Linked DNA regions of Mus musculus. The protein of the gene in region 2 purifies or fractionates together with the protein of the main gene of each other region. This does not show direct contact. Links are inferred from orthologs where the notes say so. Each region holds a gene or a part of one and is shown on either strand. Other genes may lie near its edges.

What was found.
Region 1: the proteins of Retreg3 (region 2) and Reep4 purify together in Homo sapiens (affinity purification with mass spectrometry; 3 studies listed by BioGRID and IntAct, with this or other methods). This does not show direct contact. The link is inferred for Mus musculus from reciprocal best matches to the Homo sapiens genes RETREG3 and REEP4.

Annotation. Positions count from the first base shown.
Region 1 is NC_000080.6:70,543,883-70,548,055, forward strand, and holds the start of Reep4 (receptor expression-enhancing protein 4 precursor), read left to right. Parts: upstream 1-1,368; 5' UTR 1,369-1,824; coding exon 1,825-1,856; intron 1,857-2,594; coding exon 2,595-2,667; intron 2,668-3,047; coding exon 3,048-3,124; coding exon of another isoform or gene 3,125-3,232; coding exon 3,233-3,353; intron 3,354-3,784; coding exon 3,785-3,898; intron 3,899-4,057; coding exon 4,058-4,173. UniProt on the Homo sapiens protein: Microtubule-binding protein required to ensure proper cell division and nuclear envelope reassembly by sequestering the endoplasmic reticulum away from chromosomes during mitosis.
Region 2 is NC_000077.6:101,117,033-101,121,042, reverse strand, and holds the start of Retreg3 (reticulophagy regulator 3), read left to right. Parts: upstream 1-1,201; 5' UTR 1,202-1,263; coding exon 1,264-1,502; intron 1,503-3,742; exon of another isoform or gene 3,743-3,857; intron 3,858-4,010. Other genes in the region: Tubg1 (tubulin gamma-1 chain), read right to left, coding at 45-212, 384-496, 801-849. UniProt on the Homo sapiens protein: Endoplasmic reticulum (ER)-anchored autophagy regulator which exists in an inactive state under basal conditions but is activated following cellular stress.

The DNA of each region.
Region 1 (4,173 bases), on a different chromosome or scaffold from region 2:
GTGGTGGATGCCTCCACAGAAACAATCTTTTCCAGACCAAATGGGCAGATGCACACATGAATTCAGAGACTGTGGCAGCGTACACTCGCCCTGCATAAGCTCAAGCCAGACACAAAGACCAGCACAGAGGAGGGGAAGTGGGCACAAAGTCTCTCTCATCCCTAGCCATGAAGCTATTCGAAACTGATATCTGCTGGAAAAGGGAAAGTTAGTCTTCTCCAATGGAGCTGCACTGGGTATATTAACTATACTCCAGGGTAGGTCCCATGCTCAGGAGTAGTTGGCCATCACAAATCAGACTCCATGGTTCTGTTTGGTTTTTGGGGTGTGTGTGTATGTGCGCGCACTTGAAAGGCATAGGCAGGTAGATCTCTGAATTCAAGGCCAGCCTGATCTACAGATAGAGTTCCAGGACAGCCAGGGGTACAAAGAGAAACAATGTCTCAAAAAAAACCAAAAACAAAAACCCTACGATGATGATGATGATGAAGAAACTAAGGTACTAACGATGATGACGATGACAGTAATGATATATCTAAGTTTGTCAAATGTTATAGATAGCCAGTGTGGCCAATCTAATAAGAAGACGCTTCAACAATTCCATCATTTCGCACAACAACAACAAGAAGCACAAAACAGCAAGTGTTGATTTTAGAATTTTCTGGGATATCTCTATTCCTGTCTCAGAAACAGGTGGGTTTTCAAAATTCTAGGAAAGAAGATCCGGGGTGAACCCGGATCATCACTCAGTCTCTAAGACACTGGGGTCAGAATGCCCAGGTATATGGATCGTGGAAAGATGCTTTAGAAACAAGTGGAGTCCTGAAGCTGTCAGAAGGGTGATTCTCCAATCCCACTCTTCCCTCCTTTCTAGCATGGTCAGTCAGCTGGACTTCTGCGAAGGTAAGATCAGATCAGAACGTGCTTCCTGTGGGCCAACCACTCATTTCATTCTCTATCCCATTTTACAGAGATGGAGAAATGATAAAAAGGCATCCGAGGAACACTCTCGAGTTGTCTTTTATTTCCTCTCCTTTCCTTTTGTTTGTTTGCAACAGTGTATTGATGATACACCTGTAATCCAGCCTCACTGATAATTCTCCTGTCTCCACCTCAGAGACTCCTGTGCGCCACCCACACCTAGCTAGCAGTTCGGGGTTTTTTTGTTTTGTTTTGTTTTGTTTTGTTTTTTGTTTTGTTTTTTTCCTCCCTATCTGTCCACCTGCCAACCTTTCAGAAGACTATTCGACCGGCGGCCCCACCTCCGAAGTGCGCCGAGCATCGCCGCTTTAAGAGACGGTCCTTTTGTCTCCCTGACCTCGTCCCGCCCCTCTGAGGGCTCCATTGCGCCTGCGCCTGGAGCTTGAGCGCTGGGGTTGGGCAGGATCTGGTTCCGTGCAACTTTTAAGTGAGTTACAAACTCCGCCCCGAGACCGGTGCAGGTGGTCGGGCGCTCTGCCACCCGGGCGGCAGGTGAGAGCTGAGGTCCGGCCTGCCACCCGGACCCGAGACCAGCAGCGCCGCCCTCGACGGGGGACGAACGGTTCTCCGCGGCAGGAATTGTGGGACTGAGCCGCCAGGATTCGGCGAGGCGGAGGGACGCGCCCTCCCGCCTCGATCACAAGGCGGCTTCCTCTGCTAGGCCCTCGGTCCCCTGGTTCCGGGTTCTCCTGGCTCCCCGCACTGCGGGGTCGAAGTCAGGGGTGGTGATCTCCGCCTACACCGAGGGAGAGGTGTACTGCAGCACCACTCACCCCCTTGTCCCAGCTCCTGAGTGAGCGTCCCTCCGCTTGTCTCTTGGGGTCATCCCCCTAGGCTGTCAGGATGGTGTCCTGGATGATCTGTCGCCTGGTAGTGTGAGTATGGTCACTGTGAGACACCTCCCCCCTCCCTTTTGTCCCAGGATGCCAACCTGCCTTTGGGTGGAAACTGGGGACGTTTGTAAAGAAGGGAAAATTTAAAGACTTCATGACCCCGTTTCCCAGCACACACTTAACGGTCCTGGGGGTCTGAAGTGGGACCTGGTCACTGCATACCTTGTTTCCACCCTGCAGCCTTCTGGTCTGACAGAGACCCTTCCTGCAGACAGGTGCTGCTAGGGCTCAGGGCTTTTACCACCTACAGTCCTGTGAGAAGGTGATTAGGTACTGCTGTGGGCGGAGAATCTAGGTGCCTCCTTCCCATCTGAGCAGCCACATGACCCACCACCCTAGCTTCAGCTTCTGCAGCCTGCACCTCACTTTTGGATATCCCAATACCTGGCTCAAATGTCCCTCACTGCATGCTGGTGGTCCTGGGCCTGATTACGTGTAGTGGGAGCGGACAGCCTAGTGTTCTCACCCACCTTGTGTGTTCTCAGTCTGTCCTGTACCCATGGGCCACCAGCGCAGGCCTAGGCAGGCTTGGTATGTTTGTAAACAGCCGGGTGGGGAGGCAGCCTCCGGGGCACTGACTCAGGCACCCAGGGTTGTGCAAGCCAAGCGGGAAAAACAGGGCAGGCACTGCCATCTCGCACCCAGGTCAGGGGGAGCAGCCACCTGGCAGGGAGAGGGTGGGGCATGGTCCCCTCACACTTCCTGTGACTGCTGTTCCAGGCTCATATTTGGCATGCTGTATCCTGCGTATGCTTCCTACAAGGCCGTGAAGAGCAAGAACATTCGAGAATATGTGAGTGCAAAGAGTGGGGTAGACGACAACATTGAGGAATGGTCAGGGAGGTGGTAGGACTTGGTGATGCTGGAGGGCCTGGCCTGTCAGACTCCAGGGGCTCGATCGATGGTGGAACAGATCTCAAGTAGAGTGGTCTAGTGGAAGGAAGGCCAGCCATTATTAACAATAGCCATGGAGGATCTCGTGGGCGAAGCATGCTGGGGGGGGGGGCACTGGAACGGAAGGCAGTTTCTCAGGGGCTCCTGTCTAAGCAGATGTGGGAAACTGTAGCCAGCAATGCAGTGGGACTGGCTTTGAGGAATCTCTGGGTTGGGCAGGCTGGGGGCGGGTCCTGGCGGCTTAGGCTCGTGAGCTGAGCTCTGCACTCTGACCCACAGGTACGGTGGATGATGTATTGGATTGTCTTTGCGATCTTCATGGCAGCAGAAACCTTCACAGACATCTTCATTTCCTGGTCCGGCCCAAGGATTGGCAGGCCATGGGGTTGGGAAGGGCCTCACCACCACCACCACCACCACCTGGCCTCTGGCTCACACAAACCCCTCCCCTTGCTTACACACAGGTTCCCGTTTTATTACGAGTTCAAGATGGCTTTTGTGCTGTGGCTGCTCTCACCTTACACCAAGGGGGCCAGCCTGCTTTACCGAAAGTTTGTCCACCCATCCCTATCCCGCCATGAGAAGGTACCTCTGAGGGAGATAGAGCAGAAACAGGAGGGTGTGTCAGGGCAGTGTGTCAGAGCGAAAGCCCTGTATCTCAGGTTCAGGCAGCCAGAGGTGCCTGGGTCTTATTCCCTGTCCCTCTATAGTTTTGCTGTGGGACTGTGAAAGGGGTTGGCTTTCCCCATCCACCTGGATGATACATATGGACGACCTTTAGGGTTATGACAAGCCAGCAGGAAGTTGACGTGGGCATGGAAGAATGGAAGGGACACCCACTAAGTTGTGGAGAGGGTGTGTAGTTGGGGAGTCCTGCTTTCAGTTGTTCTGAACCTAAATCTGTGGCTCCTGGGTCCTGGGTAGGGCTCATGGGATTATGACAACCAGTGGCTTCTTGGGGTCTGCAAAGACGGTGGTTCTTTCGTTGATCTGAGCTCTCCGCCCTGGGTCTGCAGGAGATCGACGCGTGTATCGTGCAGGCAAAGGAGCGCAGCTATGAAACCATGCTCAGTTTTGGGAAGCGGAGCCTCAACATCGCTGCCTCAGCTGCTGTGCAGGCTGCTACCAAGGTGCCGTGGGCCCCGGTGATCACAGCGCCTCCCCCGCTCCCAGATCAGTTCTGAATCTTGTGCCCCAGAGATTAGCTGAAGGGCAGCTTCCCCGTTACAGCCCTTCCCCTCGCAGCCCTCCTCTGGAGTTAACAGCGGCTCCCATCCCTCACCTCCTAGAGTCAAGGCGCTCTAGCTGGAAGGCTGCGGAGTTTCTCTATGCAAGACCTGCGCTCTATCCCTGACACCCCTGTCCCCACCTACCAAGATCCCCTCTACCTGGAAGACCAGGTACC
Region 2 (4,010 bases):
CCCACCCACAGAGTTGAGAGCCCTTCAGGGGAACAGCAAATGACCTGGGAGAATCCGCTGGCCCAGTTGTTGCCAGCTCCTCCGCCATGCTCCGACAGGTAGATGTTCTCTGGGTTGTAGAGCTTAGCATAGGAGGAGTTTAGGATGGAATGGATCACCCGGGGCTCCAGGTCCAGCAGCACAGCCCGGGGGATGTAGTGCTCATCATCTGCCTGTCAGAGGGAAGCCAGGATGGGTCAAGTCCTGAAGCCTCCCAACTCTGGCTCCTGCAGGCTCTCCCTCAAGATAGCCACTCTGTTCCCATCCATCCACTCAGAGTTTCCCAGCACCAGATCGCGCTGCCAGTCCCGCCAGGGTCCTGGTCAAGTCACTTGGGGGAGCACCTGGTAGAAAAAGACGTCCTTTCGGTCAGTGCCCTCCGTGGCGAACTCTTCTACGATGCCCTCGGGACTGATGCCATGCTCGGCACATAGCTGTTTCCAGAACTCGAACCCAACTAAGAGAGGGAGGCGGAAGGTGAAGAAAAAAGATACGTGAGTCTGGGTAGGTTCCAAATAGCCAGTGGGGGATTTGAACGCCTGGGTCTAGGGATCTAGATTAGCCTTGGGACTCCCTAGTGTCTAGGCCAATGACTGGACAGGGGAAGGTCCATTGGCTTTAGGCAGTTGGGCACAGGGTTGGGAATCGCCTTTGTGGGGGAGAACTAGGATTCTGCAGACAGACCGAAGCTATGACCTTATTGCGAGGGCCTCTTGCACCTAAGGAACCTGGGAGGCAGAGGGTCTGGGAGGTTCGCTCACTCTGATTGCCGCACTGGCCCAACTGTAGGGTGATGATTTCTCTCGGCATCGCTCCTCAGACATCGGCGTTGCAGTCTCTCCCGCCAGCAACACCGCCGACCGCTAGCGCGCTCGCCGGCAAGACGCAGGCGCCAGACAATGCGCTCCACCCCTAATCGTTCTCCGCTCCAATGGGAGCTGGGTTCTGCAGATGAAATTTCCTCCTTCATCGGGCTTCAGTCGTGCGAGTTGCGCGTGCGCGGCTCCGAATCGCGCTCAGCGCCGGGAACGCATTTCGACGCAGTGTTCTCTTCCGTCTGATGAATGCGCACCGGAGCGTCTGCGCATGCGCGCGTGGGCGTTCCGGCACTTGCCCCGCCCCGCCCCTTCTCCGCCCGGCCGCAGCCAAATCGTGCTTCTGCGCAGTCGGTGTTATTGTGACTCCCGGGCCGTGGCCCCGGATGTTGTGGCTGCTGAAGGGGAGATGGAGGAGGCTGAAGGGGTGGCCGCGGCCCCGGGTCCAGCTTCGGGGTTGGCTTTCAGGGGCCGCCGAGCTATGTCCGGCTCCTGGGAGCGCGACCAGCAGGTTGAGGCGGCGCAGCGGACCCTGGTGGAGGTGCTGGGCCCTTACGAGCCTCTGCTGAGCCGGGTGCAGGCAGCCCTGGTGTGGGAGCGGCCGGCCAGGAGCGCCCTGTGGTGCCTGGGGCTGAACGCGGCGTTCTGGTGAGACACCCGGACCCTCACTGACCCTACTAGGCGGGAATTCCTCAGGTTGTTCTGGGGGGGGGGGTGTCGATCTCTCACCTGCCCTGTCCTGCCTTCTTTCGTCGCCCTGGCTGCTTCTGATACTTGCCTGATAATGCTTCACTTTCCCCAGCATCCCGCCTGCCTCCAGGCTTTGGCACCCCGGGTGCTCGCAGGGCCTTCCTGGTCTTCTCCACTTGCCCCCACGACTCGCCAGAGAATCTGGTACCATCCCGTGTCGCTCGCAGTAAGCCGGGGTGCCTCTTGTTAGCGAGAGAAAGTGATTTCACTTCGAGACCATTTCCTCCGTTTCTCTTGCTTGCCCCAGGGTGGTGGTTCCGAGAGGTTTTAACTTAACGATGATGGGAGGAGAGGCAGAAGGGTATCCCTGGGTGTGAGGAGGAAAACAAGCTTGAGCCGGTTATCATGGATTATTAGCATGTTAGATACCGTCTCACCCAGTCAAGTTGGTGAAGTTTGTGTGGAGTTTCAGCTTGAAAGAAAAGTAGATGTATTAAGAAGGAAAAAATTAAAAAACAGTGGTGATCTTTCATCTGTTTCAGAGCCACTTAGGATTGCAACGCTTCCCCCCAAAAATTAGACCTTAGCTGTGGTTCAAGGAGTTTGAGGCTGTCTGAGAGCCGTTGAGTTCTCTTTCACTGGACAAGTGGCTTTATATTAAAGTGTGTGTTTCATTCTCTGGAAAAAATGAGAGCACCTAGGAGGAGTTTGGGCTTCATCGAGTCTACCAACCATGGTTTGGGTTTATTAATAACCATAGTACTGATCAAATTCCAAGGGAACTGACATATCACTGAGGCTTCTACAACCAGAAGAGATGAGACTCTTTGAATAAGCCTGTGTGTGTGTATGTGTATAGGGGTGTGGTCCTGAGATGGGGTGGTCGTGAGGAGTTGTGGGTACTTGTAGAGGCTAGAAGCATCAGATCCCCCTGGAGCTGGAGATAGGTGGGGGTTGCTGGGAACTGAACTTCTCTGGGAGAGCAGTATGTGCTCTTAGCCACCGAACCATCTCTCTAGCTCTGGAACACATTTCAAAGCTGCAACAGATTTGCTGGTCCTCAACAGTGTATTCTTTTTTGGCTCCAAATATCCTCTCCACAGAGCAGGCCTTGAACTTCTGACCTTCCTGCTCCCAGCTCCCGAGGATTGGGGCTATTGACACTGGCCACCATGCTGTACCATAGTGTTTACTTAGGCTAAGTCTGCGTTTAGAATCTTTCTCAGAACCCCTCTTGTGCTAAGTTGTGACTGATCCCTATCTCTGGCATTTCCGGGTAGTATGCCTGCTGTGTAGCCACAATGCAGGAGGTGGGGGAGAGATCCACCAAAGTGAGTGTGGCCTAAGACTTAAAAAACAATTGAGCTTGTCATTTATAGAGGGGACTCATACCTTGGGAGGGGTACAGATAGTATTAAAGTCCAAGCGGGTTAAAGTAGTCAGACATTGGCACTTATAGAATTGTTTTGGGAGAATGAATTTCTTTGAGGGCTAAACACAGTTCACTCCTCAGTAGTGTCTTTGTGAGTGTTGTCATTTCACTTAGTAGAGTAAAGAATGACTAGATTTTCAACGAATTGAAGAAGTATCACTAAGTTAGGTCAGAAACAACAAATCTGAAGTACTTCTTATATTATTTATTAGGAATAATGACGTTATCAAAAGCTGAGGTGCTTTTGATGAGTCAGAAGATTAGCTTGATACTACAAAGTTGTCACCTGAGTGCTGGAGTCCACCTTAGCGTAGTAGAGCCTACCTCCAAACCTGATGCCCTGATCCAGCTTCTGTAAGCTGTCACCTGACTTACACACACACACACACTCCCCCCCCCTCTGTCTCTCTCTCTCTCTCTCTCTCTCTCTCTCTCTGAAAGAATTTTTTTTTTCCCAAGTCCTCCAAATTCAGGGCACATAGTGTGTTTAGTGATGTACATTCCTTCTCTGGTGTAGTTTTCCCTGTACCTGTGACTATGCCCTCTTACTTTCTAAACACAGGAGGTTCATAAAAGAATTCCATGTGGTAGGGTGCCACCATGTATTTCCAGGGTGTCCCCTCCCAGGTACCAGAGAAATCAGGGTGACCCTGTCCAAAATCTTGTAACCCACATCGCTTCTAGCCCCTGCTCTGTTGCTGTCTTTAGAATAATAATGGCTTCCCTCTAAAAGCCGACTTTTTCATTAATCTCACCCCATCTGCAGATGAGTGACCCACAGGGAGACCATGAAAGTCGGCAGGAGGGCATCATGGCAGGACCAGAAAAGGACAGGTTCCAGGAACTTCGATTGGACTGATAGGAGATGGGGGAGCACGAGGGTAAAGCCCCGCTGGCCCTAACTTGATGAACAGCACAGAGCTCACAGGGGGCTATAGACTGGAGCTCCTTGTCCCTGTGATTCCAGGTGGCCTTTGGGGACATGAGCGTAACTCGCAGCTGATGCCCTGTTACCTCTTGGGAACTGTTTCACA